3 linked regions of the Medicago truncatula genome follow. The protein of the gene in region 2 interacts with the protein of the main gene of each other region in a pairwise test. Links are inferred from orthologs where the notes say so. Each region holds a gene or a part of one and is shown on either strand. Other genes may lie near its edges.

Region 1 (9,945 bases), on a different chromosome or scaffold from region 2:
GGGGATCGAATAATAAGCTTTTTTTTACGTTCTACCTTTGATGATTACAGTACTATCCTTTTCATATTTTAATTTTTTGACAAAATTTACTATCATTTTCATCTTCATTCAAATTGTTGGAATATTTTTCGATTAAATCTATATATATGTATACGCATGTTGATATTTGATAATATGTAATATTTTAAGTAGCTATGATTAAATTTTATAAAACGTTTATATTTTTCGTGGATTATGGGCATACCATCCCAATAGCCAAATTAGCCATATTCTTCTGACATATGTTCCTCTCTACATATGTGTTTATTACATATAATTCCCTATCAACCGTGTTACCTCTGGTTAATTTGTCAAATATAATTGTTCTAATCTTTGGCTTGCTTAAGGAAGGAGAATGAATACATACCTAAAATCTATGTACTATTAATTTCAATTGGCGTTAATTTTTGGACGTATTTCGTTTAGGAGGGTCCCTTTATCTTTAATTAATTGTAAGGAAAGTGTTTGATTAATGCAGCCAGTCCTTTTATAAATTCATGCGTCAGAGTATCGACCATGCTAGAAGAATCATGATAATTACATCTAAATAAATATAAGCTCTTGTTAATCGGAGAGACACATTTCTTAAGGAATTCATAAATAATAAATTTTATTTTAAAAATATAAGTTATATTTTTGATCAAATAATTATTGCACAATTTTTTTACGAAATCTTATTTGTTTTGTTTGCTTAACCAATATCTCAGGGACATTGATATAGTTAACGTTCTCCATAGATATATAATTAATTAATCTAATTAAAGGACCCTTATTCGAAAGTATGGAAATTGTTATGCAACTTCTTCAAGTGCAAGTAGTAACAACAAAACTATTGTGATGCGGGGTTTAGAAATTGAGCTTTATTAAAAACCCACTAGATGTTGGTTTGTAAGTGTGAGTTATATGTCCTACATCGGATAAAATAGTAAAGGTTGAACACCTTATAAGTAAGAGGACTCATAAACCCATTGTCTTAAGGTTTTGGGTAAGAATGTGATGTCTCTCTTACTTGAGTGGTTGTTCTAGCCTCGATGTAGACGGTCCCCCTAACTCCTCTCATAATCCAACACTAGAGCCAACTATTTTATAGTTTTATTACACACCATAACCTATTCTCTGAAGGACATTCATAAGATAATTACCTACCTAATAGCATTTAATTATATAATGCTTATCGAAAGAAAAAAAATATATATTTTTCTTATAATGTGCTTGTATAAACAAGACATTCATGTTTAAAATAACGATGAGTTTGTCAAAATCCCGATATATACACTACTATAACTTTGACAAAACATACATAATTTTAACAAAATTACGTGGTCAATACTATTTCGTCAATCTCACCAACAATTCAAAATATTTACTCAAATGGTGACATGTGGTTAATGAAAGGCTCGGTATCATTTTTTAACAAAATCTTATACGCGGAAAGCCGGAAATACAACCCCTTATTTGAACAATGGACCAAATTTATAATAAGAGGGGACCGTAACATGTAACATGAAAAATTTATGATAACTTAACTTTTTTTTTTTGAAGAAATCATGATAACTTAACTGTTAACACCTCAAATGTGTCCAATATATATGTACGTACATATGTGGGTAGTGGGTAGAGTTCTCTCACAATAGCAGTTATTTACAATCATAATAGTAAATGGTTAAATTAAATTGAATAGAAGTAGAATGGATAACAAATTCATATAACTTGTTTCACGTAGTAGTATAAATTTTTTTGTAAAAAATTAGAAAGATAAGAAAAAAGAAGTAATGGTCTGTTTGATTCGCTTTCCAAAAACAGTTTTTTATTTTTTAAAATTCAAAAATTTGAAAAGTTGTTTGATAAACTTTTTTTAAAAACTGTTTTAGAAATTGTTGTTTTTAAAACTGAAAACCGAAAACTAGTATATGCCGTTTTGCTTTTCAGTTCTCCAATTCTCATTTCTTTTCAAAATAGAAAAATACGGAAAAGTGATTAATTTTCATTAATGGCAATCTAGTAAATAAAAAAATAATTTTTATAACATTTAAAACTAATATAAACCAAACAGCTTTTTCTGTGTTTTTTTATTTTTAAAAAGAGTTGTTAAAAATTGATTTTCAAAATAGTATTTAAAAACTAAAAACTAAAACATAATCAAACAGGCCCCTAAGGTCTTCAATTTTTTCGTCTCAAATATTTATAAACAAACATTGGATTGGAAGTCTAGAAAATATCAGTGTCATTTGTATTTGATGGACTGAAATCAACTAGTCCACAAATTACATGAATCAATTTCAAAATAAACAGTGATATAAATTAAAACCAAACCGTGCCTAATTTTTTGTTAGAAGTCGTGATTCTAATGGCCGTTTGGGGAAAGGTTTGACTCCTTTGAGATCTATTAATGTAGTTTGGGCAGAATTATGGACTTTTTTATCAAAAAAAAAAAGAATTATGGACTTCTCCGTTGAATATAACTCTCTCCGTGTTTTATTATATTTTAGGCTTAAATGCACTTTTAATCCCAAGGGTGTAACAGTTTGGTTTGAATTGGTTTTCAATCAAAAAAATGTCTGTACCGATGAAATCTTCATCGATTCGGATTGGTTCGGTTTTCACTGTTTCAAAAAGGAATCGAACCAAACTAATCAGTTTGGTTCAGTTCGGTTGATCGGTTTGTTTAATAATACAATTAAAAAGAAATTCATATTCTCACAAAAATATTTCATAGAACTTTGTATAATTGTATTTCATATTTTGTTTTTCATGTTTTCTATTTTTCAAACAACTTTTCATAACTAACCTTAATCAATATTTCATACATATGAATCAAAATTCATTCACCCATCATTCTTCAAAAACAACTTCATCAAACTTAAATATTTCAATCATCCATGATACATACATGCATCATTCATCGACAAACACAAAAATTCCAAAAAGCACATCCTAAAATTTAAACATAGTCAAAATAACAAATCAATGGCATAAACATGATAAAAACTAACCAAGAGATAAACGATTGCAGCGGTGGCCGATGGTGATGAACAATTGATTTGGTGTGATTGATGGCTAGGGTTTATTTTTTAGTAGAAATGAAAAAGAGTCTGACTGATGAGATGAGATGAAGATAACGATGAGAGAAAGTGAATGAATTAAAAAGTATTTTATGTTGGACTTTAATTTTGGGATTAATCATAAGTTTGTGTGAGGTAGGATAATATGGCAAATTCTATGGTACACCCAATAAATTTGGGTGTATCGGTACACCAAGTCGTAAAATTAATAATAAATTAGTTGTTTTTTTGAAGAAAAATAATTATTTTCTATCATTGACAACTAAGAGAATTAAATTTTATTTACCAAAAGCTTCGACGAAATAAAATTTAATTTTTAAGAATTTTTATTACTCATAACAATGAATATTGATTATTTTTTATGACAAAATGTAAATTTTTTAATATGATCCTTATAAACAATGAAATGATGATTTTTCTTATGAAATGATGTTTTATAAAATATAAATATTGACAAATACCTTTTTATTTCATTAAATTGATCGTTAATTTATATATTTTGTGAAACAAGAGTACCGGTACACTCAAAATTGTGAGTGTACCATAGAAGTTCCCGGATAATATTAGTAAAATAAGGAGTGGGGTTATCATCGGATTGATTCATTGGTTTCACGGATCTCGAAATGAAAAATCACGAACTAAACCAAACTAGAAAGGTTTTGATTGGTTCGGATCGGTTTCAAACCGAACCAAACAAGGTCGGATATTTTTTCGATTTGGTTCGGTTTGGACTTTCGGTTTCGTTGGTTTAGTCCGAACCGCTTACACCCAATAAATCCCCTTATTTTAACTTAATCGGAATTCTAGTCCCCCTACTTTTAAAACCACTATTTCTGTCCTCCTATTTTATATTTTTTGGGTTTTTTCAAGTCCCCTAACAATTTTAGAGATTTCTCATTCCCATTAACGATGTGGCAGTGACATGACATGAGTGTGTTGGCTTATTCATTTTTCATGTCATTAATTGAAATAGTTGATTGTATACATATTAAAAATTAATTGATTAATTATTAAAAAATGAATTAATTAAATTATAAAAAGGAAGAGAATTAGATTGGGGAACCATGAACCCTAATTTCTAAAACTCTCCATCTTCATCCATCCTAATTTTCTATCCCTTGTGTTTTTAGAGAAGATAATTATTGTGCAAATCTTCTTCATAATATGAGGTACTCCTCTTCTTTTTATAGAGTTATCCTCGATCATAGTTTTCCTAATTTATTTTTGTTATTTTTGATAATGTTATGGAGTTATCATGGATCATAGTGGAAAAAAAAAATCCTCGATCATAGTTTTCCTAATTTATTCTTGTTATTTTCGATGATGTTATGGAGTTAACCTCGATCAAAGCGAGAGAAAAAATCCTCGTTTGTAGTTTTTATGGAGTTATCCTCGATAATAGTTTTCCTAATTGATTCTTGTTATTTTTTATGACGTTATGGAGTTATCCTCGATCATAGTGAAAAAAATCCTCGATCGTAATTTTTATGGAGTTATCCCCAGATCATAGTTTTCTTAATTTATTCTCGTTATTTTCGATGATGTTATGGAGTTACCCTCGATCATAGTGAGAAAAAAGAATCATCAATAGTAGTTGTTATGGAATTAGCCTCGATCATAGTTTTCTTAACTTATTCTTGTTAATTTTGATGATGTTAGGGGTGTTTGTTTAACACTCTTGACTTTTAAGTTGTGTCCACACTTTTTAATTAAAATTAAACAATATATATAAATGTTAGGAACACTTTCATTATAGCATTCTCTTTAACACTCACTCTCTTGTTGGATGAAATCGATGTCGATCTCATCACTTTATGTGAGATCTATTTTCAATATGTGCTACTCCACATGGATTATACCTAATAAGAGAGTTGGCGTAAGAGAGAGTGTAAGTAAGAGAGGGTTCATAACTCTCTCTCCATTTATATATATATATATATATATATATATATATATATATATATATATATATATATATATATATATATATTCATGCTATTGGATGGCAAGTTATGTGCTTAGGGTGAGGAGATGTGCTTTAGTTTGAGGTAAAATAAAGGCTAAATTGCATTTTTGGCCCTTTAACTATTTAGATAGTATCACTTTGGTCCCTTAATTAAAATTCAATTTATTTTGATCCCTTAACTTCTCTTCGTTACACATTTTGGTCCTTTCTGTTAGTTTTAATTCAAAAACGTTAGGTTTTCTTTATTTTCTTCTGGAATTTTTCTAGGATTTTTGTTGTTGAAGCTTGACAGAGATGATATGAAGAAGAAAAAGAGGAGAAGAAGATGAAGAAAACCTAACTTTTTTGAATAAAACTAACGGAAATGACCAAAATGTATAACAAATAGAAGTTAAAGGACCAAAATAAATCGAATTTTAATTAAGGGACCAAAGCGATACTACTTAAATAGTTAAGGGACCAAAAATGCAATTTAGCCTAAAATAAACTGTAACGACATTTACAAATGTATTTACATAAGTTATGTGCTTAGTGTGAGGAGATATGCTTTAGTACGAGTTAAAAAAAAACTTCAGCCTCAACGACATTTATAAATGTATTTACATTTATTTTTCTCCAAATCACGAAACTCAAACCCGTGATTTTCGAGTCCAAGATTCGTCGTACCACTAGATGTTCGCGAAATTCACATTGGATTTTGACATAGTTTGTGTATTATAAGTTGCATCTACATTAAAGGGTGTGACAACATACCATTGAATGCAAGTGTAAAATAATTTTATTTTCACTATATATACAAATTAAATTATTTTCCTTGATATATTTATTAATTTGGTTTTTATAAAGTTTGTTATATAATAATAATTGATTGATTGTACTATCTATAGATAGATAAGGTATTGAAGTAAATATAAGAGAAAGGAGGGACAAATATTAAGGAGAGGAGGTTACAAACAGCACCGTGTCTGGTCTTTTCCGATAAGCTCGTTCATTGTTCCAATGGCGAGGACAATCAACTTCAACTTCAACTACAATCCTTCTCCTTCTTAATAACTCTTTTACTTGTTTCTCTCTACCTGTCACAAATCACACAATTCTTGGTTTTTTTTTCTTTCTTCATTTTCTTTCTATTTCTCACCCACCAAACTACCAGCCCTAGAACAAACATTTTTGTTTTGTGTTGTGTACATCACTTTCTTTCTCTCTCTAAGCATAGTTTACATGTTCAAGAAACAAAAAAAAAATCTGTAAGCTGTAATCAAACTCAAAAAAATATGTTAAGTTGATTTGAGGTATTGTGTTGAAGTTTCAAAGAAAGAGACAACAAAAACAAAAAGAAAAAACAATAATTTTATGATCTTATTTTGCATTTCAAGGTACCATTTTACACACTCAAACAAGGAAAGACCATCTCAACAATTCATGAAAATCAGCAGCAAAGAATAAGGTCTTATCTCATATTTTTGTCTTTAATTCACTTCCTACGTACCTATCACATGAAGCCACTTTCATCTTTTTCTTTGATTTTTGTAACAATGAAGCTTCTTGTGAATTTTATATTGATGGGTTCTTTTGTTGGCTTAGTGGGGTATTACTTGATCTGAAAAAAATAATAATAACAAATATTGGAACATCTCATTTTAAGATTTTGTATTTTGTTTCAATGGAAGCACAAGTGCACAGATCTGTGAGCTGTTTGAGTTTAAGGGACACTGCAGTTGTTGAGTAATCAACAACAACTGGGTTTCTTTTCTGTCTTTTGTTAACATCTCAACACCTGTCACAAAACTCCGACCAAACATTGTTCTTAGTAATGACCTACCCTTCAACATTTTTTTAATCATTTTATTTATTTGAGCAATAGTGTTTCATTAAAAAAAAAAATGTTAATTTGTAGCTGTATTATAGTTTGCTTTCTAATGTATATGCTATGCTATAAATACTATACTAGCAGAAGCTATAAAAGGGTTTGGCTTAGATCGGATACCCTTATGCAAATTTTGCTGCTTTTTTAGCTTAAAAACAAAGCTGAATGGTTCAGATCCATGGTACATATATATGTAGGGCTCTACAAGGTTTTTAGCTTTTCATAAAATATATAGGTTTTTTGAGGCTCTATGCTATGCTATGCTATGAGCTACTAATCAGATCTTATATGATGTGTACTGTTAAAGAAAGAATGTAGACAATACATTACACAGTGTATTTTAATTTTGTTTTGAAAATTTAATGCAATTTAATTTTGAGTATTTTTTTAATGATGATAGAAAGTAATTATTTTGAGTTGGTTTGCTTAAGCCTTAATGGTGTGGTTGGTTTTGAGTTTTGCAGGAAGAGAAGAGGTTTTGCTTTTGAAAGGGTTTTGTTCTGCAAAACTGCATAAAGCTAAAGAAGGGCCTCCTGACTTGGACCGTGATATATCAGAGAGTAAAAAAGGCCTTTTTATCACTACACAGCCAAAACAGTCTCTGAATTTTCATCATCATCAATGCAAAGGACATATACCTAGCTAACCCCACACACAAACACACACTCTCTCTCTCTCTCTCTCTCTCTCTGCACTGCACAACCAGAGAGAAATTTAAGTTAAGATTGAGATAAATAATAAAGTGAAGTTAGACCAAGTTGGTTTGTTTTTGCAAAGGCATGATTGTGGTATGGAGGAGGATGAGATTCAAGCCCAACATAAATTCCCAAGAGTTGAAAATGAGGAAGAAAATCATGGAAGAGATATCATTAGAAGAGGTGGAGGAGGATGTGATGGAAGTGCAAATCTTAACAGGTTCAATAATTGGCATCATTCTTCAAGAATTATAAGGGTTTCAAGAGCTTCTGGTGGAAAAGATAGGCATAGTAAAGTAATGACTTCAAAGGGTTTAAGAGATAGAAGGGTTAGGCTTTCTGTTACAACAGCTATTCAGTTTTATGATCTTCAAGATAGACTTGGTTATGACCAACCAAGTAAAGCTGTTGAATGGTTGATAAAATCAGCTTCTGATGCTATTTCAGAACTACCTTCACTCAACAACTCATTATTCTCTGGTGATACACCTAATAATAATAATAATAATAATAATAATAATAATAATAGTAATAATCAGCCAAGTGAACAAGGTGTTGATTCAGTTCATGATTCTGAAATGGTTGTTGAGAATGGTGAAAACAATTATCAAAGTCAGAATCTTTCTTTGTCTAAATCTGGTTGTAGTAGCACTTCTGAGACAAGTAAAGGTTCTGGTTTGTCTCTTTCAAGATCTGATGTTCGTGTGAGCCGTGTCAAAGCTAGAGAAAGAGCAAGAGAAAGAACTGCTAAGGAGAAGGACAAAGAGATTAATCATGAATCTCACAATACTCATCAACAGCATCACAACAATGTGACCTCTTCCATTTCTCAAACAGCTTCATTCACTGAACTACTTACTTGTGGAATCAACAATACTGTTACTACCACAAATAGTCCAAGAGGGTCAGCTGAAGAACCTAGTTTTTTCAACAAAGCTAGACAGCAACAGCAGCAGCAGCAGCAATGGAATTCTTCAGCACCAATGGATCATTACTTTAGTCAAGTATTTCCAGGATCTTCATCATCAAGGGCACATCATCATCATCATCTATTAGGACATTCACTTCATGATCATCAATCAATGACAATGTCTAATTCAGTTTCACCATTCAGTACTAGTGGTGAGAATCATTCTCAAGATCAGCATCAGCATCATTTGCAGCATCCATTTTCATTCATACCAGATCATATGATGCAAAATGTGGTTACTTCTTCTTCTACTCAACCAAGCGGGAACAACAATGATTATAATCTGAATTTCACAATCTCTTCGGGCCTTGCTGGTTATAATAGGGGGACCCTTCAGTCCAATTCACCGTCTCTTTTGTCTCATCTTCAAAGGTTTGCAGTTTCACCTTTAGATGGATCCAACAATCTACCTTTTTTCATGGGAGGAGGTGGAGGAGGTGCTTCTGCTTCTTCTTCTCCTGCTTCAGCTTCACCTTCAGCTGCTCCTACAATGGAGAATAATCATCATCACCATCACCAGATTCAACACCATCTGATTTCATCTGTTTTTGATGGTAGCAGCTTGCAGCTCTATTCAGATCAGAAAGGGAAACCCAAAAACTGAAGAGTTTCACTTTTCCTCCATTTTCTTCTAGCAGGTACGTCATAAAAACAATTTTTCTCTCTTTATTATTACTTGTCATTTCTTAATTTTTAGCCTAATTTTTTTTTGTTGATGTATACTTGTGAAATATTCGTTTTAGTCTTGTTTACAAGAGAAAATCGTGTCAATTACAGTTGTTGTATTTGGTTCAGAATTTAAACTAAATACATCAACTTCTGTTGATCTAACTTTCTCTTATAAACCGGAAGAAGAACTGGTACTAGATGATTTGTTTTTCTAGTAATGTTATTGTTTGACCACATTGCATTGTTTTTTGTTGGTTTGATTTCTTCCCCAATGTACATGCCTTGCCTTTGGTAAACCATGAAGTGACATTATTAAATATTTTGAATTTTACAATTATAATTGTGCTTGTCTTGATTTGAATATTTTTGGATGTACTATAGTACTGTTTATTTTGTGCAATACCATAACAAAGAGTGAATGGTTTGTTGTATCTAGGTAATGAATGATAAATAAAAGACAAGTTGGGGATTGGTCATAAAATTATGTATTTAGTGATGTCTTTTTGTTTGATTTTGATTTTGATTTTGATTTGATTCCATTTGATTCATTCATCCTTCTGCTGCATGGGTTGCCGTGAATAGGGATGTATCGGCTGGTTGTCTCCTTATTTGTGCTCTTATTGGTTCCCTCCTAAATAGCATGTCAGCTTTTATTATTTTGTGTGACATAAATACAT
Region 2 (10,619 bases):
ATACAAAACAAAACAAAAATTGGTATAAGAGTTGTACAAAACTTTGAATGAGAATATATTGTGTTGAACACTTGAACCATTTTGTAAGAAACTTGTTGGATAATTGATGTTGTATAATATTTTATCACCAATAAACAAAATACAATTAACCGGTTGCTGTAAACACAAACAGAGTCATACTAATATGATATTGTACAAGAAGCTCCAACATTACATGATAAATCAGCGAGACCTAATAAGTACACAAATCCTTAAAAAAAAAATTAAATAATGAGACACGACAATCTCTATAAAACTATATAAAATTACAACTGTATATCAGGTTATTATTAAATATATATCAGGATCTAGAGGAAAGGCAAAAAAAGAAAAATGGTTTTACACAGCATATACAGATCAAGTGGTTTTGGTACTTAAGAAGTCAAGGAAACAAAATTTTGAAGCAACTAATGCTAACAAAGCACACTATCCTCTCCACTAAGTCACATATCTGCTAATGTAATAATCAGTATTCTTAGCAATCTTTTTCTCCAGAAAGAGAATCAGGATTCGGTTGGCGAACAAATTGTCCTTTAACTCGAGGACGCTGCTCTGCTAGTTTCTTTCTGCTCTCATATCGAACCTGTTAAAAAGTATAAATAAGTTAGCATAATATGAAAACAATGATGATCATTGATCTTACTTGTATAATTACAAGCTCATATTGATGTTGATATTGATATACCTTCTTCTCATAACATCTCTCTTTTCGTTTCAAACGGAACTTGTTTAGAGCTGCTTCTCGTAGCATAGCTCGATGTGAATATCCACTGTTTGTGAGTTCTTCATTCTTTCCCTCTGAAACTGCTGCTGTTCTGAAAGTGGCAACTTGTTCAACATTGCCACTACTTCCACAATTACTTCCATAACCAATGCTGTTAAAATTGCTGGCATTTCCATTATTACAAAAACTACTGGATACACTTTGATCAGTTGTAGGGGAGATAAGTCTTTGATCCTCTGGATGTTCTGACTTGTGTTCCTGTGTATACATAATTTGGTTTGGAGTACTGTTTCCATTTGGACCGCGAGGTTCGTAAAGCTGCTCTGAATTATTTTGTTTAACATTTGACTGATAAAATGCATCTGCTTGAAAGTTTTGTTCGAGAAACACAACTGAACCGGGCATTGATGGTGGACCTGATTGTGTACGAAACCCTGGTGGAAGTGTTGAACCATAGGCCATACAAAGATCATTGAACCTTACACCTTTCACAGGAATTGGGAGAGAATGCCTTTGCTGGGAATGTGAAGTTGCAAGTTCAGATTCTTTTTGCATACTTGGTATTGAACTATCTGAGTTATGGTTCTCATTATTTGTTTTTTGTTCTCTTGGTTGATCAGAGAAGTTAATTACTACGGCAGGTGATGCTTGCAATTGCCTATTAGTATACCTGCATGAATGGAACACCGTTTCAGTGATAAGCATGCAGAATTCAACAGAGTGGAGAAGTCATAGAGACCACAAGTACAAAATTCATACACTTTCTATCTTCATCCTTATAATGTTCTGAAGTTCTTCAGACTCATCACTAAGATTACAACAATTTTTAACTACACGGAAAGGAAAAAATTAGAATAAAAAGGGATTTAGCAATTACCGCTTGAAAGCTGAAGCATTAGAATGCATAAGGGTGTGCCTTTCTTCGGTGAGATCCTTCTCAAAGTTGCTGGGATGAGAGCTTCTGAGAGAAAGATCCAACTGTGGAGAATGGTCAAACTTGCCTGTGCAATCAATTGATGAATTTTTGAGACTGCAATTCGGATCAGTACGAAATGCTCCAATCAAGTCAATAGCTTCCTTAGTAGTAGAGTAAATTTGAACATAGTGATTGTCATGAACCTCACCACTGATGCTAGCATTCCTAAAATGCTCTTGATCATCTCCGTCCTTGCAATTATTTGCACCTGTCTCTCCATTTTTACAGTTATTTGTGCTTGCCACTCCATTATTGCAGTTAGCCACGCTTAATCCTAAAAATAAAAGTTTGTTCAAATTTTAGATAGTTCTTCCTTGTGAGTCGAACAAAATGATATTGCTGTGAAAGAAAGAAATTTACCTCCGGCGTGACTGTCCTGCGCGATCACAGCCTGGCCTAAATGAATGTCAAGTTCTCGTGTCTTTATTTCACTTGGATATGCTTCCGCACATTTCAGCTGAGAAAATTCATGCATGTTATCAACCAGGCCACTCTCAGCTTCCATGTTTGGCCTTGTACAAGAGCTCTGTGCGTCACTTCCTTTCTCAATTAAGTCCTTATTCCTTTGAATGCAAGCAGCATCACCACCAGAACGATTACTAGCAGCGTTGTTTTCAGCAGTGGCTTCAAACTTCTGTTGTGTATCACTTTCATCTTGAGGGCCATTTATGCCAGCGGTTGCGGCTGACTGCTGATAGAGTAAACAAATAATAAACATAAGTTCAACCAATTTTGTTAATAAATTCTTAGTATTTTAGGGAAAAACTGAAAACGAACTGAAAATTGAGAGAGCAGAAGTCCTACTGTTTGTCTTCTCCAAACATGTTGCCACAAATTCCTTAGTTCATTTATTCGAATTGGCTTAACAAGATAGTCAGCTGCACCTCTCAACATGCATTTGTATACTGTGCTAACTGAATCTTGCGACGACATCACTGGAAAAGCATGAAAAAAATACAAAACAATTAATATAAGTATTAATAAGGAAAAAAATTGACAAGCAGAAAGAAAATTTATCTTTAATATCATACTTATGACAGGGATGCTTTTGCAAATATCATGCTCCATAATTAATGTGAGAAGTGCATAGCCGGATATGGCTGGCAAATCGACTTCTGTAAGTATTAGATCAATACTGCGCGGTCTTCCTTTGAGTATTTCCCATGCCTTCAAGCCATCAGCAACAGCAGCAACTGCTCAAAACAGATCAAAGTTATTTTGAAGTTCTAGAGCTTAGATTTACTTTCAAGTACACTAATTTTGTTTTTCAAATTACAACACAACCAAGATAAAAAAACTCAATAATATAAAATCATAATGGCAGATAAAAATTGAAAATAAATTGAATAATTGTACCAAGTTTATGGCTTAGCCTAGTAATTTCCATACTGCTATAAGACTCTATTTCAAGGTGCCATAAATTCCTAAGATTTTCAGCTAACAAAATCCATGTCACTTTAAACCAAGTTGCTTGGGCTCCAATGGCAAGGAGCTCCTTCCAAGGACGTATCCGGGGAATACCGGGTTCGATTCCCGGGGGGAACAACGCTTGGCAAGTGCCCATGCCTCTACGCATGAGCCGGATTAGTCGCTCACCAGTGGGTCGGAAACCGGTGCAAAAGCCAAAAAAAAAATCCATGTCACTTCTCTGTAAAAAAATCTACATGATTTTTTACATTTTTTCTCATGAGTTAAAATTTATCAAACCATATTAAAAACAAAATGTCTTCAATTAATTAGTGCACACAAATTTTGTTTTCCATCCCCTTAATTTTTATCTTTATTTATTAAATCAGCAAAATCTACAAATCTATCAGTACACCCTTGAGCCTTGATCCTTTCCAAAATTTGCAGTCCAAAAACTTCTAAATTTATAATTACTAGTAAGCTTTTTCCCCCTGTTTTTGTCATGTGTCAAATATATACTCTTAATTAACAACAACTCAGCCTCAATATAACCCAATATTCACAATTAATTAAATCAAAGTTTACACTAAAAAAATATGAATTTGCACACAAGAAAAATTGAAAATTGAGAATACTTACAGAAAATTAAATAACCAATTAAACACAAAACAATATTACAAAAACATCAGCTTGTACAATAAAATAATAATAATAATAATAGAAATAGTACCTTTATAGTTGCATTTTCTAAGAAGTGCTGTTATAATCTGTCTTGTACAATCATCAGCTTCAACCAAAAGCACCCTCAAAACCATTTTTGGCAAGAATTTCTCCCACCTCATAAGCCCTTTCATTTCACCACCACCACCAGCACCTCTACTCTCAGTTCCTCCGCTCCCTTCTTCTTCCCTCACCTTCTCTTCTTCTTCTTCCACTCTCACTATTTTCTCACCACTCATTACAACCTCACCCATGTTGTTGTTTATTGGATCCAAAGACAAGAATCAGCGTATAGCATCAGAATCTTTGTTCAAGAAAACAAAACCTTAGCACACAACAAAAATATCCAATTTGGAAGGTGAAAAATAAAAGAAAGTAAGAAGAAAGAAAAAAAGCAATATATTGTATATATATGGATATTGTACAAGATTTTTTAAGGTAATAGAGTTTGATCTAATGGTACAGATTGTGACACCAAAGGTAACAAGGTTCTAATCCAACGGTTATAAAATATATTCTTTTAGCACAAAATATCTAGAAACCATGCAGACACTGGCCCACATGGTCCACGTCATCAACTAGATCTATAAAGAAATAAACCCGTGGTTGGTGCTGCTGTATTAGTGGTGGATATCATTTCAATCACTCATTTATTCAATTTATTCAAACTATTTTTGTGCTTTAATTGTTTGGTTATAACTTTCTCTTGAATTCCAAGTTGTGTCCAAATGGAAAATATCAAGGGGATATTTTTGTATGAGGGACAATTCGGAATGCACATGGACCCATTTGGAGAAAGATATTAATTTTTTTAATCCAAAAAAATGAAGATATTTTTGAGTGCTTTGAGGCTGTCCAAGAATCCCATGGACAATAGTGATACACGTGGCAATTTAGTTGAGGATGTCTTGTTTTGTGGCTTTGAAGTCGTCGAACTCTATCTATGTCTTCACAAATCACATGCTGCGGGCAGATGTTGGCTACTCGCTCTTTTATAGGTCAATATATATCATCTATCAAAATTTGACTTGCAAAATAGTAAAAGAAGTGATAACATGTGTTATTAATTCTCGTCATATATCACATACTTGATAAAGACAATGCATAATATACGTAAAGTCATGTTAACCAGTGTCCGGGTTAAGGAAACCGAAAAAAGTAAGTTTTAAGATAAAAATAACATTTTTTATGTTTTTGAAAACTTGACAACGCAAGTTCCAATGCAATACTTACTACATTTCACTTCTTAACCAGTGTGTCGGAGGCACCGATTAACATTACCTATGTATGTATGGAAGGGTCAGAATTTGAATGTTAGACTCATTTATTTTTTAGTCATCAGATCATCCAACAAAAAAACTCATGATAAGAAATTTGAAGTGAAAATTTCATTTTAGAAATTGTGTCTATTTATCTTTTAAAAAGTTGTAATTTATTTTTTCCCAATAAATAATGTTATTGGAAATCGAACTTAACTCAAAATTTTCTTATGCTTTTGTCCCAAACGAAGTTAAATATTTAAGATTGTTGCCAAAATTATAGAAGCATGTGTGAAAGGAAAAAAAAAAACAATTGAAAAACAATGAGAAACATGCTGAGGAAACCCAAGAGATGGAAATGGATACTTTTCAAACGAAAGCAAGTTTTTATGTTATGTTAGTTGAGAGATGGAAATGGAAATGGAAATGGATACTATCAAAGGGAAAAGTTAGTTGATTTGTTGAGGTTTAAAAAACAATGTATCAAATGATGGTAAAGGATCTCAAATAAGAAGTTCATCAACAGTTAGTAAAGGCTTTTTTATATACAAGTGCCACTCCTTTCAATTATAATAGTAATGTGGAGTTTGCAAGAATTGTCTGAGATGATTGAAACGTATAATTGACTACAAAAGCTTAAAAGAAGATTCGGTGATCAAATAAGTTCAAATTGAGAACCGGCCATTTGATTTAATTCAGATTCAAATTGAAATAAATTGAGTACTCAAATGAGCACAATTGGTACATCTTGTATGAAGTTTCATCAGGTTAATCTGTTCAGAGACTCATACATATTTTTGTGACAGCATCAATTTATGGATACCATAAAAAAGATGCTCGATACAGGTGGAAAAAAACTCAAATGAGTAGTTGACTAGCATATATATAAAATGCTTTAGTTAAGCAGCGAGGAGCCTGTTTGGATAAGCTTATTTTGAGCTTATACAAAACAGCTTATACAAAAATAAGCTTTTATATATTATTTACAAGTTTGTTAAGGTATTTTGTGAAAAAAAAAAACAGTTTATGAAGATAAAATTCTCGTTAGTAAGAGCTTATAAATTAAAATAAAAACTTAATTATTTACATAAATCATTTTTCATAAACACAAAATAAGCTAAATCCAAACCGGCCCTAAGGGAGGCGATCTCTCAGTATACAAATGGATTACATAGACCCGAACTTCGTGTTAATGCTAATAATCCCTTGTAAAATAGATTTGTACACATCATAATTACTTTTTTTTGTCATGTATGTGACAACATTTTTTCAATTGATATGATGCCATGTTTCACACCTATTGTTCTGTTTTATTTTCTCAAACCATTTCAATATGATAGAAACAAATTATTGATTAAAAATTTCGAACAAGAAACTGGGACGAGAACGGTGACACCACTTGCACCATTGACATTAATACATAAGAAATATTATGATTATGAGTTCAAACTCTCGTAATTGATGTAAAATAAAAATAAAAAAACTTGCCGGTGCTATCATGTACTCCCTCTGTCCCTATATCTAATAACCCTTTTATTAGAGGCAAAGGATGCTTACATATAGGAACGGATACATTAATACATAAGAAATATTATGATTATGAGTTCAAACTCACTGCTAGTATCGTAATTGATGTAAAATAAAAATAAAAAAACTTGTCGGTGCTATCATGTACTCCCTCCGTCCCTATATCTAAAAACCCTTTTATTAGAGGCAAAGGGTGCTTACATATAGGGACGGATGGAGTATAAACCAAAGTGAAAATTTCCAGCATGACCAAAAGAACGCAAATTGGTAATTCGCTTGCATGATAGTAGTTTGATAAATTACTTTGGCCAACAACATATCAGTCAAAAGGAAGCCTATATTACATTTAGTTTCATGAGCTCTTCTCACGTACACACTAACTAACTTCTGTTTAGATAATTTTAACAACGCATTTCAATAATGCATTCAAACATAACTAGCACTAAAGTCCACATCAATACGTACTCGATTCCAACCATGTTAGAGATGTCACAAGGCCTATATTTACTTGTTTCACGAACGTTTGGGAAGTGTATATGGCACATGCTTATCCTCACAAATAGCCTGAAAATGGGCATATAAGAAAATAAATAAATAAATAAATAAACAAAGTTCAACATACAACAGTAATTCAGTGTAAACTGTTCGATAGGCTGATACAAGAGAAAGGCAAAAAAAAATGTTTTTTGTGTATCAGGCAGCTTTGCACAAATGTGAGCAAAACTTTTATTTTGTTATACAAGTTGAGCAACACTGACTTCTTCATACTTCATAATAGAACAAACAACTGATTGCAAAAATAACCTAATCTTAGTTGCCATGGCCAAACATTATAACCACTTGAGCATTTAATGAAAATCTCAACTCAGAAGGCAACGGTGTTTCACATAACACATCCTGTGTGTTTAGAGCTTCCCTAAATTTTTAACACCTTTGCAAAAGACAAAGAATAAACTGCCAACTATTTTATATCCGACCAGGTAAATTAATGGATAAAAGCACAGCCTAGGGGGAAATCCCCAAAAAAAAATACTTAAAGTTAAATTATGGTTTTTGAGAGAGTGGCATAAAAAAAGAGGTGCACAATCTTATACTTGAAAAGAGACAACTATGTAATAACAAAAACAAAGTCCCTTATCAAAAATAATAGTAATGTATGCTGAATCTATATTACACAAATAGAAAAATACAAACCTGCATATCGTCTGGAAGAGCCTCTGAGACAGCAAGAGTGTAAACACCAGGAACAAATTTTCCTGCAACATATAAGAAAAACTTTAATTTCCACATCTCAGTTGTGTGCAAGATTTCAAACTTCAATCTAGATAGAGATTCTAAAAAAGAAAAATTAAACGGCACTTCACAGTTGAAAGAAAAAAATAAACAAAGAAGATAAACTTCAAATGAAAAAAACACCACAACAATTTCTCTATCTCTATAATAATATACACATTTAGCTCACACAAATGAAAATTCTCTCCAGGTGCCACTCACTAAATTACATCACCAGTTTTTAATTCAGAGGTACTAATTTACATGTTTTGAATCAACCCCAATCTCTTTCTCTGGCACCATTCTTTATAACAAAAAAGGAAAAGCTTCTCACTTGCTCGTTTTTTTTTTTCAAAATTCAAATTTAACTGGTACAATTTATATCACATTCCTCTTCTATCCATCTCTTTGCTCTCCGCCCATCTCTCACTCCTCTGCTCAGTGCCCATCTTCCATAATCAAAACATTGTATAACCTACATCTAAAACGTAGCCTCTTCTTCAAAACAGACTAAGAAAATGGGGTTCTTGACTGTAAATGGAAAATCTTAACAGCAACTAAGGTTTATGATTTTGACTGTGACTCTTTATTTCTATATAGATTTCAATTGTGACTTTGTGATTTTCTGCAGCTGTAGACATTGTGTGAGCTTTATTGTAGCCGGGCTTAGATGGCATGTACTCTATCCTTGTCTTAACATATGAACAAATCGCTGTCTCCACATTCTCATCTCAACTTTCCTGAAATGATGAAATTGTGAGATTGACGGCGAATGACTAACTCTTTAGTCTTTTTCTTCTCATTTTAGTGCTAATTGTGAGATTGTATGTAAGTTCATTTGATTTGGATTTAATTTGATACTCAAAATGTGCACTCACAGGGTGTTTTTGAAAATGTCTTACAACAGGAAATGGAGGGAAAATGTAAACAGCCAAGCATGAAGCTTTCAAATGATATGCTTTTATATTGTTTATGCTTTTTTTTTCCTTTGAATGTATAGACATGTTTAAGGAGTTTGTCAGATACAACCACTAAATGTTTATATACTCCTTCCTTATTAGACATTATTGGCAAAATCTTTGAATGTGATTTCATGTTAGAATTTGGGCAGAGCTTACAAAACTGGCTTGTAAGGTGAGGGGTGTCAGTCTATATACTAATGATCTAGGATAGCTCTAATACCATAATAAGTACTAGAGATTTCTGCCATCAAGAACGATGAGAATAATATGGAAAATTACTGGACTTAAAAACCAGAGGATCTTAAGACTGCAAGGGTGCACGAATAGAAAAACAGAGACGGTAGCTTCAGACAATGAGTGAAGAGCAAGGGTTTGCTGGATAGAATTGATAAAGACTCTGCATCAGACAAACGACCTCGAAAACAGGTTGAAGAGGCGCCCACGAGATGACCTGAACCGACAGCTTCTTGATCAAAACGATTTACGACGGCAAGTGGCCAATACGTGCCGAAAAGTCTGACGGATTGTTATGGCGAGTGGGAACTTCTTCGGCGACGAAACTTCAGAGGGTGACAGATCAGAGCCTTATAGTGACAAAGCCACCACGTGTGTCTAGTGTAGTGGGTGGCAGACCAGACTTTAAAAGAAAATTAAAAAGTATAACTAGCGTGACCAAGCTTTGAATACGATCTTGAATGAATTGCTTATGAGTATCAGAAATCTCATAAATTAACACCACGAGAGTATATAACGTACTATTCACCTAAACATTAAACAGTACTTTAATCTTCGTCAGCTAGAATAAATTTCATAATTAAATTTTGTATTCCTCTTTCTAGGACCTTACTTGAACCCTTTAACCAAAAGGTTGAAACTGCAAAGCATTACCATAACTCAACACATGTAATACATTGATTTGGTTGTGGTTGAGTTGCAATTTGATACTCATAGTATATGCACCATAACAAGAAGATGTGAATGCGAGACAGCAGTAAGTGGAATGCTTTTGAATAATCACTTTGTGATTACCAATTCGTTCAACGGCATTCGACATAATGTTGTTTCTCATATATGCTTCTTATAAGGATATCAAATTGCAACTCAACCACAATCAAAGTTAATGTTTTGTAGTTTCTACCTTTTAGTTAAATGGTCAAGTAAGGTCCAAGAAGGAGGAAGAGTGCAAAATTTAATTATGAAACTTATTACCATATATAAGTATTATTCAATGTTTAGGTGAATAGTATGTTGTTTACACTCATGGTGTTTAAAAGGAGTTAAAGAACATTCTACTCACTTAAACATTCCACGTAACTTAATTTTTGTTAGTTACAAATAAATTTCATAATTAAATCTTGCATTCCTCTTTCTAGGACCTTACTTGAACCCTTTAACCAAAAGGTTGAAACTGCAAGGCATTACCACAACTCAACACATGTAATCCATAAATTTGGTTGTGGTTGAGTTGCAATTTGGTATCCATAGTAGACGTGAATGAGAGACAACGATATGTAGAATGTTTTTGAATAATGACTTTGTGATTGCCAATTCGTACAACGGCATTCCACATAATGCTGTCTCCCATTCGTATCTGCTTCTAAAGTAGTGCATCTACTATGGATATCAAATTGCAACTCAACCACAATCAAAGTTATGGATTACATGTGTTGGAGTTATGGTAATGTTTTGTAGTTTCTACATTTTGGCTAAAAGATCGAGTAAGGGCCTGGAAG
Region 3 (10,673 bases), on a different chromosome or scaffold from region 2:
TTTCTAGCTCTTGAACCTGAGGACCAATCTCCACTTGCATTGTAGCTTCACCGAAATCTGTTATAGTATTATTCACTTCCACGATGTTGTCCACACTCGATACACCATCATTAACTGCATTATTCATATGAGGAACATGCATTGGTGATTGTTGTTGATTATTAATATCTTCTTCCTGCTGAAGCATTGCATTACTATTATTCGCTGTCAAGCTTCCAAGACCAACTGCGTGATCAGCTATATAATATTCACTTGGAAGTTGTTGCTCCCATGTTGCATATCCATGATGTAGGTTCATGTTGGGTTGTTGAGGAAAATGCCTTGGTAACAATTTTCTGGGAACTTGTTGAGAACTGCAAGCATATGCCATTGGATATTGTTGTTCTGCAACATGAGAATTGTGAGACCACTGTGATGATTCTAATACAACAGCATGAGCAGAAGCATCATAAGCTTGAAAATAAAGTTTTGGAGATCTATCATGTGAACTGTTGGATTCCACAACCAGGAGAGCTTGCTCATGTTCTTGTTGATGTTTATTTAAATATAATCTATATTTCTGCAAATCAAAATATATAACAATATAAATTACAGTTTCAAAATGCTAGTGTTAGTGTACATTAAATAATTCCCTAAAAAAAGTGTACAATTTATTGTCTTGGTTTAATTAATGGTATGGAAACAAGATTGATATCTATGTTTAATTTCATGCAAGACAAGCTTCTGCTTGGTTAAGTATTAGGGCATTTAATTTGAATGACTGAGAAAACTTTATAACTGAACAAATCAAAAAATCAAAATTTTGAGTTAGCTCCTTTTCAGGGTAAACTGGTAATATATATCCGAATGAAAGTTAAAGACTAATAATCCATAAAATATATTGAGATTCCTATAAAAGATTAATAATATGTCACAAACATATGTTTTCTATATACCCGTCAAATTTTCCAAACCATAAATAATTTTTTTTTTTGAAGGACCAAACCATAAATAATCAAATTTTTAGTTTACAATTATAAATCCTTTATTTATTCATTTTTGACAAACAAAAAAAGTTTTAATTTCAAAGAACGGATTTATCACAAATTTTATGGGTTAAAACGGAAATTACCTGAAGATGACTGCCTACCTGCTCCCTTGTAAGTCCAGGCACCTTCATATGTTCAAGAATTGTTTTTGGCACCGCCTCTGAAAGAAAAAAATAAACAAAGAGAAAGAGTGAGAGAGAAAAAAATTGTTATGACAAGTTGCAAAAATATAAATTGAACTTTATTTCCAAAAACAAATTTTACACTGTCATCTAGTATAATCATCTCTTCAAATCACTCCACTACATGTCACTTTAATGATATGACATGCATCAATAGTTGATTCATATTAGATGTTAGAGTAAACTACGAATAAATTGATTAAACTTTTGATAAAAACAAGAATAGGTAAAGAATGCGTACTGGAACTGGAACTGGAACTGGAAGCATCAAGTTCTTTAACAGCCTTCATGAATTGCTCATGTAATTCTAAAGACCATACCACACGCTCCTTCTTCGTCTTCTTCGTCTTCTTTCTCTTCTTTGTCTTCTTTGTCGGGGGTGGTTCGGGTATATCTTCGTCATTTAAGCATAAATTTGAATCATCTCTTGCCCTTATTTGGCTACCTTCAACCCCCAATTGCTCATTGATTTTTTGTTTTTTATTTCCTTTCATCATTTTCCTAACAGCATGATGCCACATATACTTTACTTGATTTTCAGAGAATGGCTTGACCCAACAGTCACAAGCTCCATTTTCAATTGCATTCAATATTCCAGTTGTTGATCCTTCAGAACACATCGTCACTGCACATATATGTAACATAAATAAATTATATAATGTCTCATCTCATGTAAGTATAAATTAATCATGTGATATGATAATATAATTAATTGTATATTTACTTACTAATGACAGGAATATCGATTTGTTGTGTCAATTGTTGCAAGAAATCAAATGAATCCATGTCGGGCATTTGAGTTTCAAGTAGTACCAAATCAAAATGCACCTTTTGTGCTATCAAATTCATGGCTGAAGAAACCGTCCAGCATGTCGTAACTGAAACAAAGAACACAAAGATTGAGACTTTCATAGGTTAACATAATTCAATTAAGAATCAAACAAGGTACCATATATTAATTTACAAACCTTGGTAATTGAATTGAGACAATTTTTTCTCAATAGCATTGAGAAGATGGATATCATGATCAATCACAAGAACTTTAACATTGGCTGGAAACACATTCCCAAAGGAAAAAGTCATTGCAAAAGAAAAGAATAGTTGTTTGTGAAGTGAAAGAGTGAGCAAGAAATCAAACACTATCACTCTTGATTTGATGATTCAAGTAAGGTGGTTTTAGCATATATATAGTCCAGTGAATTTCCATCTCTTGATTTGCAATGAGAGAGAAAGAGAAAAAAGGGAAAAGATGCATTTAAAGGTGGAGATTAAAACTGGAGAGAATCATGTGAAAACCTCACTGGAGGAGATCCATAGATGAAATCCAAAAACTGTAGTTGGATCCAATCGACTAAGTCAGCTGTATAGAACCTGTATTTTGTAAATTCAATGACACAAACCAGAATTTAGTCATAGAGTTGAATGTAATTTTTTTTTTATGGTAGAGCTTTAATATTTAAAATCTTATAAAATTAATTATTATTGTATTTTTCTAAATAAATAACAATTATAATAAGAAATAAGAAATACTACCAATTTTACTTAATTGGTCAAAGCGACTTTTCACAAATAAATAAATAAATAAAAGATATTTGGAAAAAATAACACAGTAAAAGGATAATAGGTATATTAGGAAATGAAGCAATAAATTATTTTGAATCAATGAATTTTATTATTTTTTTGTGATATTTTGATTCAATGAATTGACTAAGATTGGTTTTCAATATTGACCGATTGATTTTTTTTTTTTGAATAAATATATTGACCGATTGATTTTAAAATCAATATATAAATCTTGTTTAAATATAATATGAGATTAACAAAACGATGTATAAATCTTGTTTAAATATTCAATGAATTTTATTATTTATTTTGTGATATTTTGATTCAATGAATTGACTAAGATTGGTTTTCAACATTGACCGATTGATTTAAAATCAATATATAAATTTTGTTTAAATATAATATGAGATTAACCAAACAATTTTGTCCTTAACTCAAGTGGTTAATGAGTTCCTCCAAAGCATGAAGGGTTCGTCAAAATCTGAGTTTGATTCTTGCTGGAACAATGATCATGTCATGCTTACCTCACGGCCGAACGATAGATCATCATGAATCCTTAATTTTAATAATTTTGCAGTGGCTCCTCTTTGAGGTCTCAGGTTCGATTCTCTTTGATGTCAATTTGGATGGACTAGTTTATCTTCTTCAAAAACAAAGTTGCAGTGGTTTCTTAATTTTAATAATTTTGTAATCTTTATAAAAAAAAAAAAAAAAATACATGCATTTATAATACTGCTGAAACCAAATTTATTTAATTATTTTTAAACTCTAAGTTTTTGAACAATTTTTTAAATATTTGTTTATAATATTATAAAAATTTCTCAGCAAAAGTTCAAAATTTAATTTCAGTGTTGGTGTATTTGTTACTTTTAAATTGAGCTTTTGTCATTTAAAAAACTCATATACTGTTGAAACCAAATTTATTTAATTATTCTTAAACTATTAAATATTGAGCTTTTAACATTTTAAAAAACTCATATAATGCTGAAACCAAATTTATTTAATTATTCTTAAACTCTTAAGTTTTAGAACAACATTTTGAATATTTGTTTATAATATTATAAAAAGTTTTTCAATAAAAGTTCAAAATTAAATTTCTATGTCGAGGTATTTGTTACTTGTAAAAGAATTGTTATAAGTTTTTGAATAATTATAGATATGTATGTTTTCTTTAAAGAGTTAATGGTCTGATTATGTATTTATATATATTGCTTATTTGTTTCTTTGCAAATTTGTAGAATTTTAAAAAGCGAACAACCTTATAAAATGTATAACCTAATATGTGTAGATCAAACAAAGACTTACATGAAATTTATTTCAGATATGTTGTTGAAGGATTTCAAATCATTTATGTGATTGTTATTATTTTTAATAATGAATTTCTACACAAATAACTTACTAAACATTTTTTTCAAATTGAACTCATGACAATAATTTTATTCACCACAATTTTTAACAATATAACATTTTACATATAACTCTATCGTGCAAAGCAGGGATCCAGTTAAAATAAAATCAAACATCCCTTTAGCTCCAATATTCAGTTGTGTGGATTACAGACCATATATAAAATTTGCTTAACTGTAATGATTCTGAACACAAGTTATATCAACTAATATCAATGTCGTATAAAAAAGGTGAACAAATATAAGAAATTAGGGATTGTAAGAAAACAATTCTTAGCGATTAAACCTAAAACACATTGAAAGAAATTAGGAATCAAACGTCACGAAAGCATACAAATCAGTAATGATGAAAATAAAATAGATTTAATAGGAAGTTTCTAGTATAAAAAGTTAATATTTCATTTAACCTAATCTAACCTTTTAAAAATCCTAAACAAACATAACATTTTTTTAGAGTGTATTCTTAAAAAGCTCATGCATTTATCCCACTTCCATATTTATAGATGCAAGCCTATCAAGAATATTCGTATAGTTACGTACTCCACATAGAGTATAAATCTCATTAAAAGTTTATACTCATCATCCTCTCGTCGTGTCGAGAATCATGTATCTTTTAGTTTATAATAGCAGGATCGTTTAATATTGGTTCACACTTTGTTTTTAACCATTAAATCTAATTCTTAAGATCTCTAATCGTTTAAGTTGAGTTACCATCTCGACTTTCTATCTTGCTAAAACTTTTGTCAAATGATCAACTAAATTTTTATCGGTACATGTACATGATCTCCTCTAAAATCTCCTTTTGAGAGGAACTCTCTTACATTTACCATCATGATAAATGTAGAAACTAATAGATGGTTTGTCGATCATCCATGATCAATCACATATAAAATGAGAGGTTCAAATACCTACCTATACTATATAAAATCCATGATCATCATATCTACAGACTATAGGGAACCTAATCACATGCTTATAAATAGGCAAATTTTATGGTACATTCAATATATTTGAGTGTATTGATATACTCACTCTTTAAATTAATAGTTAAATGAATTGTTTTTTTTTTTGAAGAAAACTATTATTTTTTATCATTTATAATTATAATAACTAAATCATATTCATCAAAAGTGTCAACGAAATAAAATTAATTTTCTTTTGAATTTTTATCACTCATAGTTGAGAACTTGATTATTTTTTATGATAATATGTAAAAGCATAATAAATCAAATTTTGTTGAATTTAAGATTTGAATGTTGGTCCAAAAGGATTTAAAACCTTAAAATTTGATCAACTAAACTAGATAATATTGATCATTAGTATGTCATATTATATATTTATAATTAAATTGATTTATTTTAAAAAAAAAATTAACCGAAAATTTTGAGGCCTAAAACTCTCACTTAGATGGATTTGAAGCATGGTGGTTTGATACTTATCATATTTTGATATGACTATACACACATTATATTTTGATATGATATGATATTTTACCAAAAAAAAACGTGACCATCGAAGGAAGAAATCAAATGGAAGTGATGAAACCACGACACCCCTTGTAACTAAAAACTAAAAAAGACATGTGAATTTCCCGCTAAGTCACACAAAAATATCTTGTCTTGGTCTCAAAAAAATAAAAATAAAAATATCTTACCTTACCTTTCCATTCCATTCCTATGACGTGGTGAGAAAGAATTCAGTCACAGATATTTTCCTATCATATCAAAAATATCTCTGCTGCTTACCATGTGTTACACCATGTTGACTCTTTTCTTATTCCAATTCACCCCTCACTTTCTTTAAAACTACAAAAATGCCACTACCTCCACAAACACAAACCCTTCAGTAGTTTATTCTTTTTAGAAGGTTATTTCCGTCCATAAAACTCAAACATTCTTTCTTATTACATACTCCTAGCTTTGTGTTTGTCAGAAAAAACAGAACAAGTTTGTTTCGTTCTGACAATAGATAGATAGAGAGAGAGAGAGAGAAACATGGCTATGGCAAGAGATAAAAAAGAAGATGAAGAAGAGGTTCATAATCAAAATCAAAAGGTTGGGAAGAGATTGAAATGCATGAACATGATGAAGAATGAACAAGAAGAAAATCAAGTAGTTGATGAAGAAGAAAGTGAGCTTCCATTAAAACCAGAACTTTTCTTCTACCCAACAACACCAACATCTTTTGTTGTATCAGATGCACTTGAATCAGATTTTCCAATCATTTATGTCAACAAAGTCTTTGAAATCTCAACTGGGTATCGTGCTCATGAAGCCCTTGGTCGTAACTGGTAAGATTTTTTTCATTTCTTGCATCATAATTTTGTTGGGGTTTATCTTTTTTGTTGATTTAAGGTTGGGATTTTATGTAAATTTTATAAATTTACTTCATTTAATTATGATCCACTTTCCTTAAACTAAAAATAAACCCTTTTATCAAACGGTGAAAATGATTCCATTCCTTTCAGATCTATACTATGTTGAGATTTTATAGTGCCAATTTTGTTTCATTTTGCAAACCCCATTTTTATGGAATCCATTCTTTCTAATTTTGATTCCCCTAGCTTCCTTCTTATTGGATAATAAATAAATTTTATTTTTATAAATTTCTATTTATCAAATTTTATTTTTGTGATTTCACAATTTGAAGTTTATTTTCCATTCTCTTAATTTAACTTTTTGACAACATGGTTACTTGGTAAACATTGTGATGTGCTTAGTACTTTCCATAATAATTAAGGTTCCATCAATTGATTGTGCTTGTGAATTAACTACTTGTGAAAAAGATTTTGTTCTGAATGTATTGATCAAAGATGTGACTCATAGAATCAATGATAGGGAATTGTCCTTTTTGGTTATATTTGATATTTTCATTCCTTTTTTACAAGATATTTCTTTTAGATATTTTGATTTGGTTCACTTTTGACAAAATATACCTCTAATTGCTTTAGAATTTCTTTTGTTTCCAGCCGGTTCTTACAATATAGGGATCCTAGAGCTCAGAGACGGCATCCTTTGGTGGATCCAGTCGTTGTGTCTGAGATTAGAAGATGTCTTGAAGAAGGTATTGAGTTCCAAGGTGAACTTTTGAATTTCAGAAAGGATGGTACTCCCTTAGTCAACAGACTTAGGCTTACGCCAATTCATGATGATGATGGAGTCGTGACACACATAATAGGTATCCAAATCTTTTCCGAGGCAAACATAGACTTGAACCGCGTTTCTTATCCAGTTTTCAGAGAGACTTGCATTCAAGATTTTGATAAAAATGCTAAATATTCTCCCAAAAGTGGGAAATTATTGTACACTCCGCAGAAGCGCGAAGAGATGTGTGGCATTCTTCAGCTTTCTGATGAAGTCTTGGCGCACAACATATTGTCACGCTTGACACCGAGGGATGTTGCATCGATCGGTTCTGTTTGCAGGAGGATCCGTCAATTAACAAAGAACGAGCACGTTAGGAAGATGGTTTGTCAAAATGCATGGGGCAAAGAAGTGACAGGTACATTGGAACTGATGACCAAGAAGTTAGGTTGGGGTCGTCTGACTCGGGAGCTTACTACTCTTGAGGCTGTTTGCTGGAAAAAAGTTACAGTTGGAGGCGGGGTTGAGCCTTCACGCTGCAATTTCAGTGCTTGTGCTGCAGGAAATAGGCTTGTATTATTTGGAGGTGAAGGAGTGGATATGCAGCCTATGGATGATACTTTTGTTCTAAATCTTGATGCTAAGAATCCAGAATGGCAAAGGGTTAGTGTGATATCATCCCCGCCCGGCCGATGGGGCCACACACTCTCTTGCTTAAACAGTTCTTGGCTAGTTGTTTTTGGTGGATGTGGTAGGCAAGGATTGCTCAATGATGTGTTTGTGCTTGATTTGGATGCTCAACAGCCAACATGGAAGGAAGTTTTCGGTGAAGCACCGCCTCTTCCGAGATCTTGGCACAGCTCATGCACAATTGAAGGCTCTAAATTGGTTGTCTCGGGCGGCTGCACAGATGCTGGAGTACTTCTTAGTGACACATATTTACTTGACCTCACAATAGATAATCCTACATGGAGAGAAATTCCAACTTCATGGACTCCTCCTTCTAGGTTAGGGCACTCACTCTCAGTTTATGGTAGGACAAAGATTCTCATGTTTGGTGGACTTGCAAAGAGCGGACACTTAAGGTTAAGATCAGGTGAGGCTTATACAATAGATTTAGAAGCTGAACAACCACAATGGAGGCAACTAGAATGTAGTGCATTCACAGGTTTATCAAATCAAAATGCTGTTGTACCTCCTCCTAGACTAGATCATGTTGCCGTAAGCATGCCTTGTGGGAGGGTTATTATATTTGGAGGTTCCATTGCAGGTCTTCATTCACCGTCTCAACTATTTCTATTGGACCCTGCCGAAGAGAAACCGACGTGGAGGATCCTCAATGTTCCGGGGGAACCACCTAAATTTGCTTGGGGTCATAGCACTTGTGTGGTTGGAGGGACTAGGGTTTTGGTGTTGGGTGGACATACCGGGGAGGAATGGGTACTAAATGAGTTGCATGAGTTATGCTTGGCAAGTCGACAAGACTCTGACATGTGATGAGTGATCGCTTATGAAAATCAACTGAACCGGATCCTCTACAGACAGTCTATCCGAATCTCAGTTGTTGGATTAAGCTGCAACTCGGATCAAACGGTCGAGATTTGGCTGAATTGGCTGCAGAGAAGAGGATCTAGTCTGAAATCAAACCATATCTCTTCTCTCAAGACAAGTTTTTGGTTACAAAAGAAAAGTTTACTTTCGGTTTACTTAGTAGTTTGGTTTTGTTTATAAACTATATTGTATGTCTGTTATATGCCATTTGTATTATGAGTATATTTACCACGGTTTATGTTTGTATGTGGCTCTAGGAAACCTCTCTCTATATCAGTTATATTGTATCATCTCTCCTTTTACAATTATTTCTTATGAAAATTCTTTTATTGATTTAAAAAAAATTCATAATATATAGACTTTTTACACGAATAATCCTAGAATCAGTGACAATGTAAAACTGTTTACACTTTACATTATTGAAAGTAATTTAACTTTTTCTTTTTGAAGAAAAAAGTAATCTAACTTGAATACACTCTTAAATGCATTAACAACGAAAAACAAAGGTTAAGCTTGAAGAAAAGGACAGATAGAGACAAATAAAAAATCAAGAAAATACTCTATCTATCTCATTAAAAGGGTTGTTTAACAAGTGATATTACTCGGATTGTTAATAAATTTTATCTAAAAGAATTGTCCCAGAGAACCTGAATTTGATTTTTTTAATGGAGCAATATTTGGTCGCATCAATAAAAAACATGAACGTCGTTTAAATGTCACACTTTTTAAGATTAGAAATTAATGTATCAAAAGATTAAGGGGGAAATGGAAGTGTTGAAAGTGCTGGAAGTTGTTATGAATATTGTCGAAAAAAAATTGTAGACTGGAAGTAGTCAAGTGAACTATCCATTTTTGAGGAAAATGAACTGTTTAATTAAATACTAAGTGTTTATATTATAGACATATTTTATACATTTTATTAACGTGAAGACCATCATCTTTAGTAAAATATTCCCTCAACATTTTTTCATCCACAAGCATCAACCGTGAGACTCTATTTAAAGGAATCCAAGTTCAATTTTAAGAGTAATGTAATTTTTTATGATAAAGTAGACTAATGTAATATTTGTAGCGTTTATTACATTATTTTTTTTAATATTACATTAGGTTTTATGAAGAAATATTGGACAACTATTAGGTTTTCACGACAAACTTTGAAGCTTTTACTTCAAGCTTATTCTCATATAGCAGATAATAAAATATTGAGTTAAAATGGTTAGCTCTTCTGAAAGAATCAACTTAATAATAATAATAATAATAATAATTGTTGAAAAATACGCAAACGACAACTCGTTAGTATATAAAATCACATCATAGAACTCAGTGGCTTTATACACTGGGCCAAAAGAATATATGCAAGTGCAAATCAATTGCTTGTAACCTTAGACTTTTCTGTTTGAGTTTGATTACAAAAATAATAAGACAACAAAATCTATAGCAAATCTTCCTCACAGTATCTGTTGTAAAATGTGGGATCTTCCCTATTTCCAAGCCACAGAGTCAATATCGTCTCTCGCTTGCTTGTACAATTCAAGCCTCTTAGCTATTTGATTTCTCTTTTCCATCAGGGATGGGTCTTCATCCAACATGGCACCCAATTTCTCCTTCTGCGTTTCATACAACCAGTTTTCAGTTATAATCTTACCACACAAAATGTTCCAATACGTGTATTTATCTATTCTACATCAACTATGGTAAAAATAAATACATTCTGCTACAACAAGCAAGGAAATCCCTAATGTTGTGCCTGACTATCTTGATTATAACAATTTTAGGAAAGTAGCCAGCTTTTTAGTATCTTTTCCAGAAAATTTTTGTGAATTTGCTTACACGAGTTAACATATGCTCAACTAGGTAACC

The links.
Region 1: the proteins of two-component response regulator-like APRR9 (region 2) and transcription factor TCP2 interact in a two-hybrid assay, tested with the Arabidopsis thaliana proteins (2 studies listed by BioGRID). The link is inferred for Medicago truncatula from reciprocal best matches to the Arabidopsis thaliana genes PRR5 and TCP2.
Region 3: the proteins of two-component response regulator-like APRR9 (region 2) and adagio protein 3 interact in a two-hybrid assay, tested with the Arabidopsis thaliana proteins (2 studies listed by BioGRID). The link is inferred for Medicago truncatula from reciprocal best matches to the Arabidopsis thaliana genes PRR5 and FKF1.

What each region holds. Positions count from the first base shown.
Region 1 is NC_053049.1:38,108,592-38,118,536, reverse strand, and holds the start of transcription factor TCP2, read left to right. Parts: upstream 1-5,965; 5' UTR 5,966-6,514; intron 6,515-6,610; exon of another isoform or gene 6,611-6,877; intron 6,878-7,398; 5' UTR 7,399-7,724; coding exon 7,725-9,203; 3' UTR 9,204-9,237; intron 9,238-9,945. UniProt on the Arabidopsis thaliana protein: Plays a pivotal role in the control of morphogenesis of shoot organs by negatively regulating the expression of boundary-specific genes such as CUC genes, probably through the induction of miRNA (e.g. miR164). Participates in ovule development.
Region 2 is NC_053044.1:45,866,195-45,876,813, reverse strand, and holds two-component response regulator-like APRR9, read right to left. Parts: upstream 4,258-10,619; 5' UTR 4,121-4,257; coding exon 3,877-4,120; intron 2,933-3,876; coding exon 2,771-2,932; intron 2,675-2,770; coding exon 2,544-2,674; intron 2,431-2,543; coding exon 2,100-2,430; intron 2,014-2,099; coding exon 1,641-2,013; intron 1,434-1,640; coding exon 725-1,433; intron 623-724; coding exon 515-622; 3' UTR 141-514; downstream 1-140. Other genes in the region: transcription elongation factor SPT4 homolog 2, read right to left, coding at 7,166-7,216, 7,847-7,908. UniProt on the Arabidopsis thaliana protein: Transcriptional repressor of CCA1 and LHY, thereby controlling photoperiodic flowering response. Involved in the positive and negative feedback loops of the circadian clock. With RVE8, forms a negative feedback loop of the circadian clock.
Region 3 is NC_053049.1:48,668,068-48,678,740, reverse strand, and holds adagio protein 3, read left to right. Parts: upstream 1-6,092; 5' UTR 6,093-6,173; coding exon 6,174-6,469; intron 6,470-7,147; coding exon 7,148-8,759; 3' UTR 8,760-9,103; downstream 9,104-10,673. Other genes in the region: transcription factor SPT20 homolog, read right to left, coding at 1-559, 1,112-1,188, 1,452-1,835, 1,939-2,088, 2,179-2,293; dynamin-related protein 1C, read right to left, coding at 10,295-10,420. UniProt on the Arabidopsis thaliana protein: Component of an E3 ubiquitin ligase complex that plays a central role in blue light-dependent circadian cycles.